Linked DNA regions of Oryctolagus cuniculus. The protein of the gene in region 2 interacts with the protein of the main gene of each other region in a biochemical or structural test. Links are inferred from orthologs where the notes say so. Each region holds a gene or a part of one and is shown on either strand. Other genes may lie near its edges.

The links.
Region 1: the proteins of ERBB4 (region 2) and NRG2 form a complex in vitro, tested with the Homo sapiens proteins (2 studies listed by BioGRID). The link is inferred for Oryctolagus cuniculus from reciprocal best matches to the Homo sapiens genes ERBB4 and NRG2.

The regions. Positions count from the first base shown.
Region 1 is NC_091437.1:27,537,104-27,540,745, reverse strand, and holds part of NRG2 (pro-neuregulin-2, membrane-bound isoform), read left to right. Parts: intron 1-3,055; coding exon 3,056-3,227; intron 3,228-3,642. UniProt on the Homo sapiens protein: Direct ligand for ERBB3 and ERBB4 tyrosine kinase receptors. Concomitantly recruits ERBB1 and ERBB2 coreceptors, resulting in ligand-stimulated tyrosine phosphorylation and activation of the ERBB receptors.
Region 2 is NC_091434.1:26,982,465-26,986,830, forward strand, and holds the start of ERBB4 (receptor tyrosine-protein kinase erbB-4), read left to right. Parts: upstream 1-1,490; 5' UTR 1,491-2,175; coding exon 2,176-2,257; intron 2,258-2,264; exon of another isoform or gene 2,265-4,366. UniProt on the Homo sapiens protein: Tyrosine-protein kinase that plays an essential role as cell surface receptor for neuregulins and EGF family members and regulates development of the heart, the central nervous system and the mammary gland, gene transcription, cell proliferation, differentiation, migration and apoptosis.

The DNA of each region.
Region 1 (3,642 bases), on a different chromosome or scaffold from region 2:
TAATGCAGACCGTGGGAGGCAGTGGTGCTGACTCGGCAGCCAGGTGTCTGCCACCCATGTGGGAGACCTGGAGTGAGGTCCTGGCTCCCAGGTGTGGCCTGACCCAGTCCCAGTGCCGACCATTGTGGGCATTCTGGGAGTGAACCAGAGGACAGGAGCTCCCTCTGTGTGTGTGTCTCTCTGCCTCTGAAATAAACTAAAAACCAAAGCGCCATGCCTGGGTGCACTGCTGGGCTCTGCGGACCACGTCCCAGCCTTCCGCTTGGCATCACAAGCAGCTCCCTAGAGACCTTGCTGCCAGGTGAGCGCCACGGGGAGGAGCCACTGGGCAGTACAGAGCGGGTAAAGGAGGCTGATGCCGCGGGGCTGGGAGGGTGCTGAGGCGCGACTTCACTCACACGCGCAAGAATGACGTTCCAGAAGCTCCCACAGGTGAACACACTGATGCGCATAAAGGCTCTCGGTGCCCAAAAATACGCCAGGATTTTAAGCTGTGAGAATGAGGGAAGTAGGAAGACACTGCAGAAGGTGAGGAGCCCTCAGGCTTCTCAGGAGCTCTGGCAAATCAATAAGCCGAGCACTCGGTAAAGAAACAGACCACAGGCGTGAACCGGCGACTGCATAGGAAGAAACACAGCAGACCGATGCACTTGTGAAAAAAGTCAGCCTCACCAGTAATGCACGTAGTGCAAATTGAAACTAACAAATCGACGCTATCTTTTGCCTGGCTAATTGGCCGAGATGAGAGGCATGATAAGGGCTCCTGTTGGGGAGGATGTAGGAAGAACAGGCTCTGCCATCCACTGGGGGCAGTGCAGCTGGGTGCAGCCTCCCCCAGGGGTGTTGGCAGCATGCGCAGAGCAGATTTGCACCCCCTTTGACGCAGCACTTCTGCTTTGAGCAAGATCGCCGTAGGAAATAATTGTGGCTAGCAATAGCAGTAATAGCCGGCCCTCATTAGCTGCTGCATCTGCGCCAGGTGCTCCGTGCATCATCTCATGGAATCCTCGCAGCCCTCACCCCCTGAGGGAGCAGCTATTATTTACCACCTGTGTGTTGCCAAGGAGGGCGCTGAGGTGCCAACGCAGCAAGCCTGTGGACACGGCCCCAGGACCCAAAGCTCACAGTTGCAAAGCTCAGACTTGAACGCCTAGAGCAGAGGGGTGCTGGGAGGTGTGTGGTTATGCACCTATGAGGAGGTTCCCCCTGGGTCATGTGTGATGGAGGGAGGGGGCTTGCTGACTGCCCCACAGCAGGAATGCACTATTTAATTATGGGGCACGTGCCCCAGGAACATTACGCAGTCATGAAAAAGGATGCCCTGAAAACCACATGTGTGCGTAGCCGAGGGTAGGGGGGTTGTGACTAACAGATCTCTGAGGGGTGTAAAGAGAGCTGATAAAGTCAGTTCGCCCTTAGGAGGCAGTCACGTGGCTGTCGTCAGAAGTTGCAGGGAGACTTGTTTGATAAGCCGTGTACCCTTCTGCACGTCCACCATTAGTCAGGTCAGAGAATTTGTTCCACATAACTTTATTTCCTTGAAATGCTGCTAAGGGTTCCAAGAAAAACAGTGTCAAGGTCCTTGCTTGGAGCATCTTATTGAAGTGGATAAAGATGCTTCCTGGCCCGGGCTCACGCACATGTTCTCCAAACCAGATTGCTCACGGAACCCGTTTCTCAAGCAGCGTCTGTTTTCATCTCCAGAAACTCATGACTTAGAGATCTCATTGTGGGGAAATGCTCCTATTAATATTCAACACCAAGGTGAAAGGCTTACATTGTTTCGTTAAATGAAAGAAACATGTTGCTAGCACTGATCCCACTGTGTGTGTGTGTGTGTGTGTGTGTGTGTGGAGAGAGAGAGAGAGAGAGAGAGAGAGAGAGAGAGAGAGGCAGGCGGAGGCAGCGAGGGAGGGAAAGGGAGAGAGAGTTCTGAGCACTGGGATCACATTGATTTTCTTTTGATCTTCTGTAGTCTTTCCCTCCCGACGTGAGCGGAGCTGTGCTGCCTGTATGGTGTGCTCCTAAGGCGGGCTCCCTGCTCTCTCCGTGCCCTGCAGCCATCCCATCTCCTGCCCACTTCCCAGACCCTGGAGCTCTCAGAGCCTCAGCTTCAGCGGCAGGCAGTGGGACGGTGCTTGGGACAGTGAGCGCGTGCAGGAAGGCGTGCACCTGCTGAGGGGGGCTGTGCCCATGGGGTTTATCACACAGCCCAGCAGGGAGCTCTGGCTTGCCCTCACCTTTTTCCTTTTACTTGTTTGTCTTTGTTTAGTTGATGGGGAGAGGAGCAAGGAGGTGATGCCTGGCAGTCTGTGATGCCTGGCAGACTGGGCTGTGTGCAAATTGCAGGGAGTTTAAGGAAAGCCGGGGAAGCCTGCAGCTTGGCACAGGTGGTTTTGCATCAGTAACAGGTCCTGTGTCCGCCAGTGCCATCCAGGCCTTGCCCCCCATCTCACCCACCCACGTCAGCCATGGCGCCCCCTGTGCCTGGCTCGCCTTCCTCCATCCTCCCTCCCAGCCCTTACCTCTGAGCAGAGAGAGTGCTGCCCCGAGCCTGGCCTGGGCACACCCTGCAGTGACAGCAGTGCCGGTCACAGCCGCTCTGCCTGAGAGTGGGAGCTGAGGTGTCCTCTCGGTCCACCTGTGCCCTCTGGGCATGGCGCAGGCCTGGGCATCCGGGACAAGAGTTAGATCGTGAGAACGAAGTCGAGGAGACCTGGCTTTGAATCGTTTCATTGCCCGCCCCCTTAGGCAAGAGACCTGACCGTGCTGAGCCTCAGCGTCCCCGCCTGTGAACGAGTTCAATCATTGCAGTGAAATCGCGGGCTTACTGCGCTGCTTTCCTAAGCTGGCAGGCACAGGGCCACTTCCTGAGCAGCAGCTACCTGGATAGCACTGCAGATGAGAAACGCGCCCGGGGGCGGGCCCTCAGCCCTCACCTCGCTCCCTGCCTCTTCCAGCCCAGCCCAAGGACAGGGCCCCACACCCCCCTTCGCTCACGCTTGGCACTGTGCCCACCTCCACCACACTCACCCATCTGCCTTGTGCCCCACAGCCACCCGGCCGAAGCTGAAGAAGATGAAGAGCCAGACAGGACAGGTGGGTGAGAAGCAGTCACTCAAGTGCGAGGCAGCAGCCGGGAACCCCCAGCCCTCCTACCGGTGGTTCAAGGACGGCAAGGAGCTCAACCGTAGTCGTGACATCCGCATCAAGTACGGCAACGGCAGGTGAGCAGCGTCCGGGCGCCCTCTCCTCCCGGCAAGGAGGGGCCTGGGCTGGGCAGAGCCCCGGCTGCAGCCCCGAGCTGTGTGGCCACGGGGCTCATCCCACTGCCTCTCCATCCCCTCCCCCACTCCTGCCCACACCCAGCCTTCTTGCAGCTCTGGACCCCCTGGGAAGGTTCTAGGCAAGAATTAAGTGATTAACAGCTCTGAAGGTCAAAGGCAATTTGATTGTCAAGGTCAGCTTTGCTAGTGGAAGTTCTTACCTGCCCCTTAAACTTTCCTCAGGAGACCTGTCCCAGGGTCTAAAAGCCCGGTCATCTAGAATCCTCAGTGACAGCCCTGGCTGCCGTACACCTCTCCCCGCCAACCACCTGGGGTGCTGGTTTCTCGGTTTCCCAAACTGCTGATTGCCAGAGAG
Region 2 (4,366 bases):
GAAGGCATTGAATGAAAGAAAAAAGAGAGGGAGGTTGATAAAAATAGGAGTAAAGATAACCCCCAAAGGGCCATGTACACAGTTCTGCACAATCAGTTCCATTCTGGTTAGTCGCCATCATCTGCTCTAGGCTTGGTTTCTCCCTGCCCTAGGCTGCTTTTGGGTAAAAAAGCATGCTCAGCTTGTTTTGTCTCTTTGCTGGGCCTAGGAAAGAGAGAGAAGCTTTTTTTTGGGGGGGGGGGTGCGTAGGAAAGAGAAACTCCAGGCTTCTGCTCTTCCTATCTGTTCCAGGGAGATTCTTAAGGGACAGGGCTAGAGATAAAAGATGTGGGAGAGAAAAGGGAAGGTCCCAGTTGATGACAGAAGATACAGGGTGGTTTGATTTTTAAGTTCCCAGGTACTTTTTATTTATATATTTCCTATTTGTAGAGAAACCAAAAAAGGAAAATGATTAGTACGTAGTATGCCTGCGCAAATAGCAAACCCATAACCTACTAACCCCAGGAGATTTTGGCTCCTGTCCTGGGTAGTTTCAGAGCTGTAAGAGGTATGGGGTATGTACGTGGAGAGTCTCCAATTCCAGGATATAGTAATTAGATTCAGAAACCTCTCAGAGAATCCCAAAGCTACCAGTGACCCGGGGATTAGGGAGCCTAACTGGCAGAGAACACGGAAGTGTCTCCAGCTGCGTCTACTACTAGAATAAACCTCATCATTTGAGGTCCATTACATTCTGACATGGCCGCCTTAAATTCTTTCAGACCCAACAGTTCAGGCTTGGAACGTTTTTGAGCCCTTTAAAAGCAAATTAGCAGTTGGGCTAGAATGTGCCTAGAGAGAATGAACCCCAGACAAGTGGTCCAGAGAAAAGGCAGCATGGCCCATGAGAATCTGAAAGTCAATGATGTGGTTCTGCCAATGCAGATTTTTAGTTTGGTTCAGAGTCTTCCCGTTTGGCCGGGTGTAACTGGGGAAGGGGGATGATTACCGCGGAGGACGACCTGGTGTGCTGGGGCTACCAGTTACCGAACTCTCCTGTAAATTACCTTCTAAGCGTGGAGCATGACTGTTTTTTTTTTTTTTGGGGGGGGGGGAGGGTTTGCACATCCTTTTACTGAAGAAAGTTCTGTCTGTGGATGAGCACTGTGGGGCAATGGAGAAAAAAAAAAAATCTGTCCTCTAAGCATCCTAACGGTGGTCTGTCCCCTCGCGGGCCAGCTGTCCCGTCCTCCGCCGGGGCGGGAAGGAGAGTGTTTCGGTCCACGGATTCGGGTGAGCCCTTTAAATCCAGCCTCCCCGCCCCCACCTCCCCGTTGCCTCTCTCTGACAGGTGTTTTCCCAACTCTGGAGGCTGAGGATTTTGGGGAGTGGCTGAGCCAATAAGATCTCCCTTTTTGGGGGGGGGGAAGGGCGTGGCCAGCTGGGTCAGAGCAGGGGCGGGGTTTGTGCCGCTGAGCCGAGCTTGCCTGGTTGCGTGGAGGGTTGTTTTATCCCCCCCCCCCCACCGTCCCCACCGCCCCCCACCTTTTTTTTATTTATTTCGGAGTCTTATTAATTTCTCTGTGGGGCTGCAGCTGGAGACCGCGGAGCGTTGGAAATGACGCTCGGAGCTTTAATTACCGCAGCCGCTGGACAAGTGTGAGGAAAGCTGACAGGAACAAGGACAGGATCGGGGGAGACGCCAGCAGCTCCCCCCGCCTCCCGATTTGGACTGGAGGTGCAAGGAAACTGAAAAGGGAGCCGAACATAGCCCGGCTTGGGGGGGGAGAGGCCGGAAACCTACCGCCTCTTTGCAATCAACTTTTTTTGGAAACCTTTCTCTCCCCTTCCTTTTTATTGTTGACCAACCAGTGAGAGAGAGAAAGTGAAGAGAGAGCGAGAGCGCGAAGCTCCCACGGGGAAAATAGCTGCACAGTCCGCCCGGAGCAGCCCGCGCCACCCGGGAGCGCTCCCCGGCGCGCTCCGCGACGCCCACTCCTCTACGGCCGGCCCGGCCCTGGGCCCGCGGGCGCGGACTCGGTCGCCCGCGCTGGGGAGCCGCTGGACCGCGCGCGCCGCGCCCGCCCCCTCGCGCCCCCACTCGCGTCGGACTGGGGGAATCTCCTCCGCGTGCCCGAAAGGGGCTATGCCAGTTGGACATGTAATTGTCAGCACGGGACCTGAGACTTCCAAAAAATGAAGCTGGCGACAGGACTGTGGGTCTGGGTGAGCCTTCTCGTGGCGGCGGGGACCGTCCAGCCCGGCGCTTCTCAGTCAGGTGGGTCGCGCTCCTTCTCGCGCTCCAGCAGTTGAACCTGTCGCCGCCGCCGCCGCCGGCTAGGCTGCCTCGGTGGCTCCCCTGCCGTCTTTGCCCACCCCGACCCCGGCTCGCCCCCAGGCGCGGAGGGACCCCTGGACTGGGGCCTCTGGCACCGGCTCCCGGTCACCCCTTTCTTTCTCCATCCTAAACTTACCCTGTGTGTATGTGCGCGGGCGCGCAAGTGTTTTATTTATCGTGAAAAATTACTCTGCACCCCATGACCCTTTCCCCCCCTCTCTCCTTAAGCCACCTTCTTTCTCCCTCGCGTGTTTTCCCTGTGCCTAAGCGGGCTCGCTGCTAGTCGCGCCTGTTGTTCGGACGCGGGAGACCCAGACCCTCAGCCAGAGGAGCCCTCCGGTCTCGGACTCTGTGCCCTCAAGGCAACAAGCCGCAAAGGAAGGCGCACCGCAGGAGCCTGGGCAGGGCTGGGGTCCCGGGGTGGTGCTGGCCGGGCTGCTCCGCAGCCCGCGGGCTGTGGAGCGTGCAGCTCCGAGAACCAGGCTGTGCACCTGTGTGTGCTCCCTGTGGCCGCTGCGCCCCCAGTCGCCCGAGGTTTGCGGGGTCAGGCACGACTGGAGCCCAGCCTGGGCAGCCTGGAGAGCGCGGCGGGCGGGCGTGCCTCGGCCCGGGCCTGGAACTGCCAGCCTCCTCGGCTGGCGTCCCGGAGTCCCTCGCCCCATTGACTCGAGGGGTGCTTGCTTGCATGCCTGTCCTATTAAAAAAAATTAAAAGAGGCTTGGCACGTTGAGCTAGGAGCCCGGCCTTCCCGTCGGTGGCTGTGTTTGGCTCCGGGAGGAGTTCTTCCTGTAGTTCAACTTGCTATTGGCCGGACTCCCTCCAACTTCTCTGTTTACTGCCCGGCCGGGCTGCGGAGCCTGCCGGTCGCGCGAATTGATTTAACCCGAGGCGGGCGCGGCGGCTGCGCTCCCGGGCGCGGTCAGTGTTTGCTGGAGAGCTTGAGCCCCAGGTACCTGGACAGGCAAAGGGCTAATTGACCCCGAGGGGCCGCGCAGGGGGCTGGCGCGCCGCAGCGGGCAGGGCTAATGACAGCAGCACCTGCAGGGACAGGGGAGCTCTAAGTTTCCAACACTGGGAGTTTCCTGGGGATGACCTGGGGACTGGAAAGGAATGAGGAGAACCGGTGTCTGACGCGGCCAAGGTGGGGGGTGGTGGTGGTGGTGGCCTCTGGAGAGCCCGGGGGAGATTTCCGGAGCCGTTTGGGGTTGCTGGCGAGAGCGTGGGAGGCAGCTTGAGGAGATAAAGCCCCTGGGAGTGGCGATAGGGCGAGCTTTAGGCCTCCGGAGGGTGTCCTCCTGACCTCGCCAAGAGAACGGCGGCTCGCGGTAGTTTCCCCGCTCCGCCCCCGCCTCCCCCTCGCTGCCTAGTAAATAACAAGTTCCAATCATGGAGCCTTTCAGAATGACCTTCGCCTGGCACATGTGCGCCGTTTGCACCCTCCCAATTACTCCGAAATTCTTCATGCATACCAGGTCCCGCGCTCCAGCCACCTCGGGAATTGCACCGTCTCGAGATTCCAAGCGGCCTCTTAGATACATCCCTTTTTATCTGCCTCCCCACTCCCAGTCCCTTCATATTTTCCCTCAATGGGTTGATTATGCACATTGACCCATTCAAAAACAGTTGCGACCGACAGGCAGGCTGAGGCGGGAGGAATTTCTAGGAGGCGACCTACTGGGGGCTGTCTGGTTCAGCCTCTGCCGCTGGAGGACCCGCTCCCGGTACGCAGCAATTTGGTATTAACTGTGCGGCGCGGGGCTGAGCTATTCCGAAAAGCCCTTTTCAGAATTTCTGCAAGGAATGTAATCCAAATTAGTTCTGCAGCTGTCCTCTTCCTCGTCTCAGGCGACACCAGCTCTTGCCCTCGCTCGTCTCTTCTCCTTTCCCTGGGCGAATTGTCAGACCCACAAGTGAGCCCATTTAGAGCGCGAGGATTAGCGTGCCATTGTTGTTCCGAGTGTGACTCTGTACTTGAAATTCTGGGGGCACAAAGGAGAGCCTCACTTGTTCAGAACACAAAGTGATCCAGATGAAAGGGCCGCACAAAGA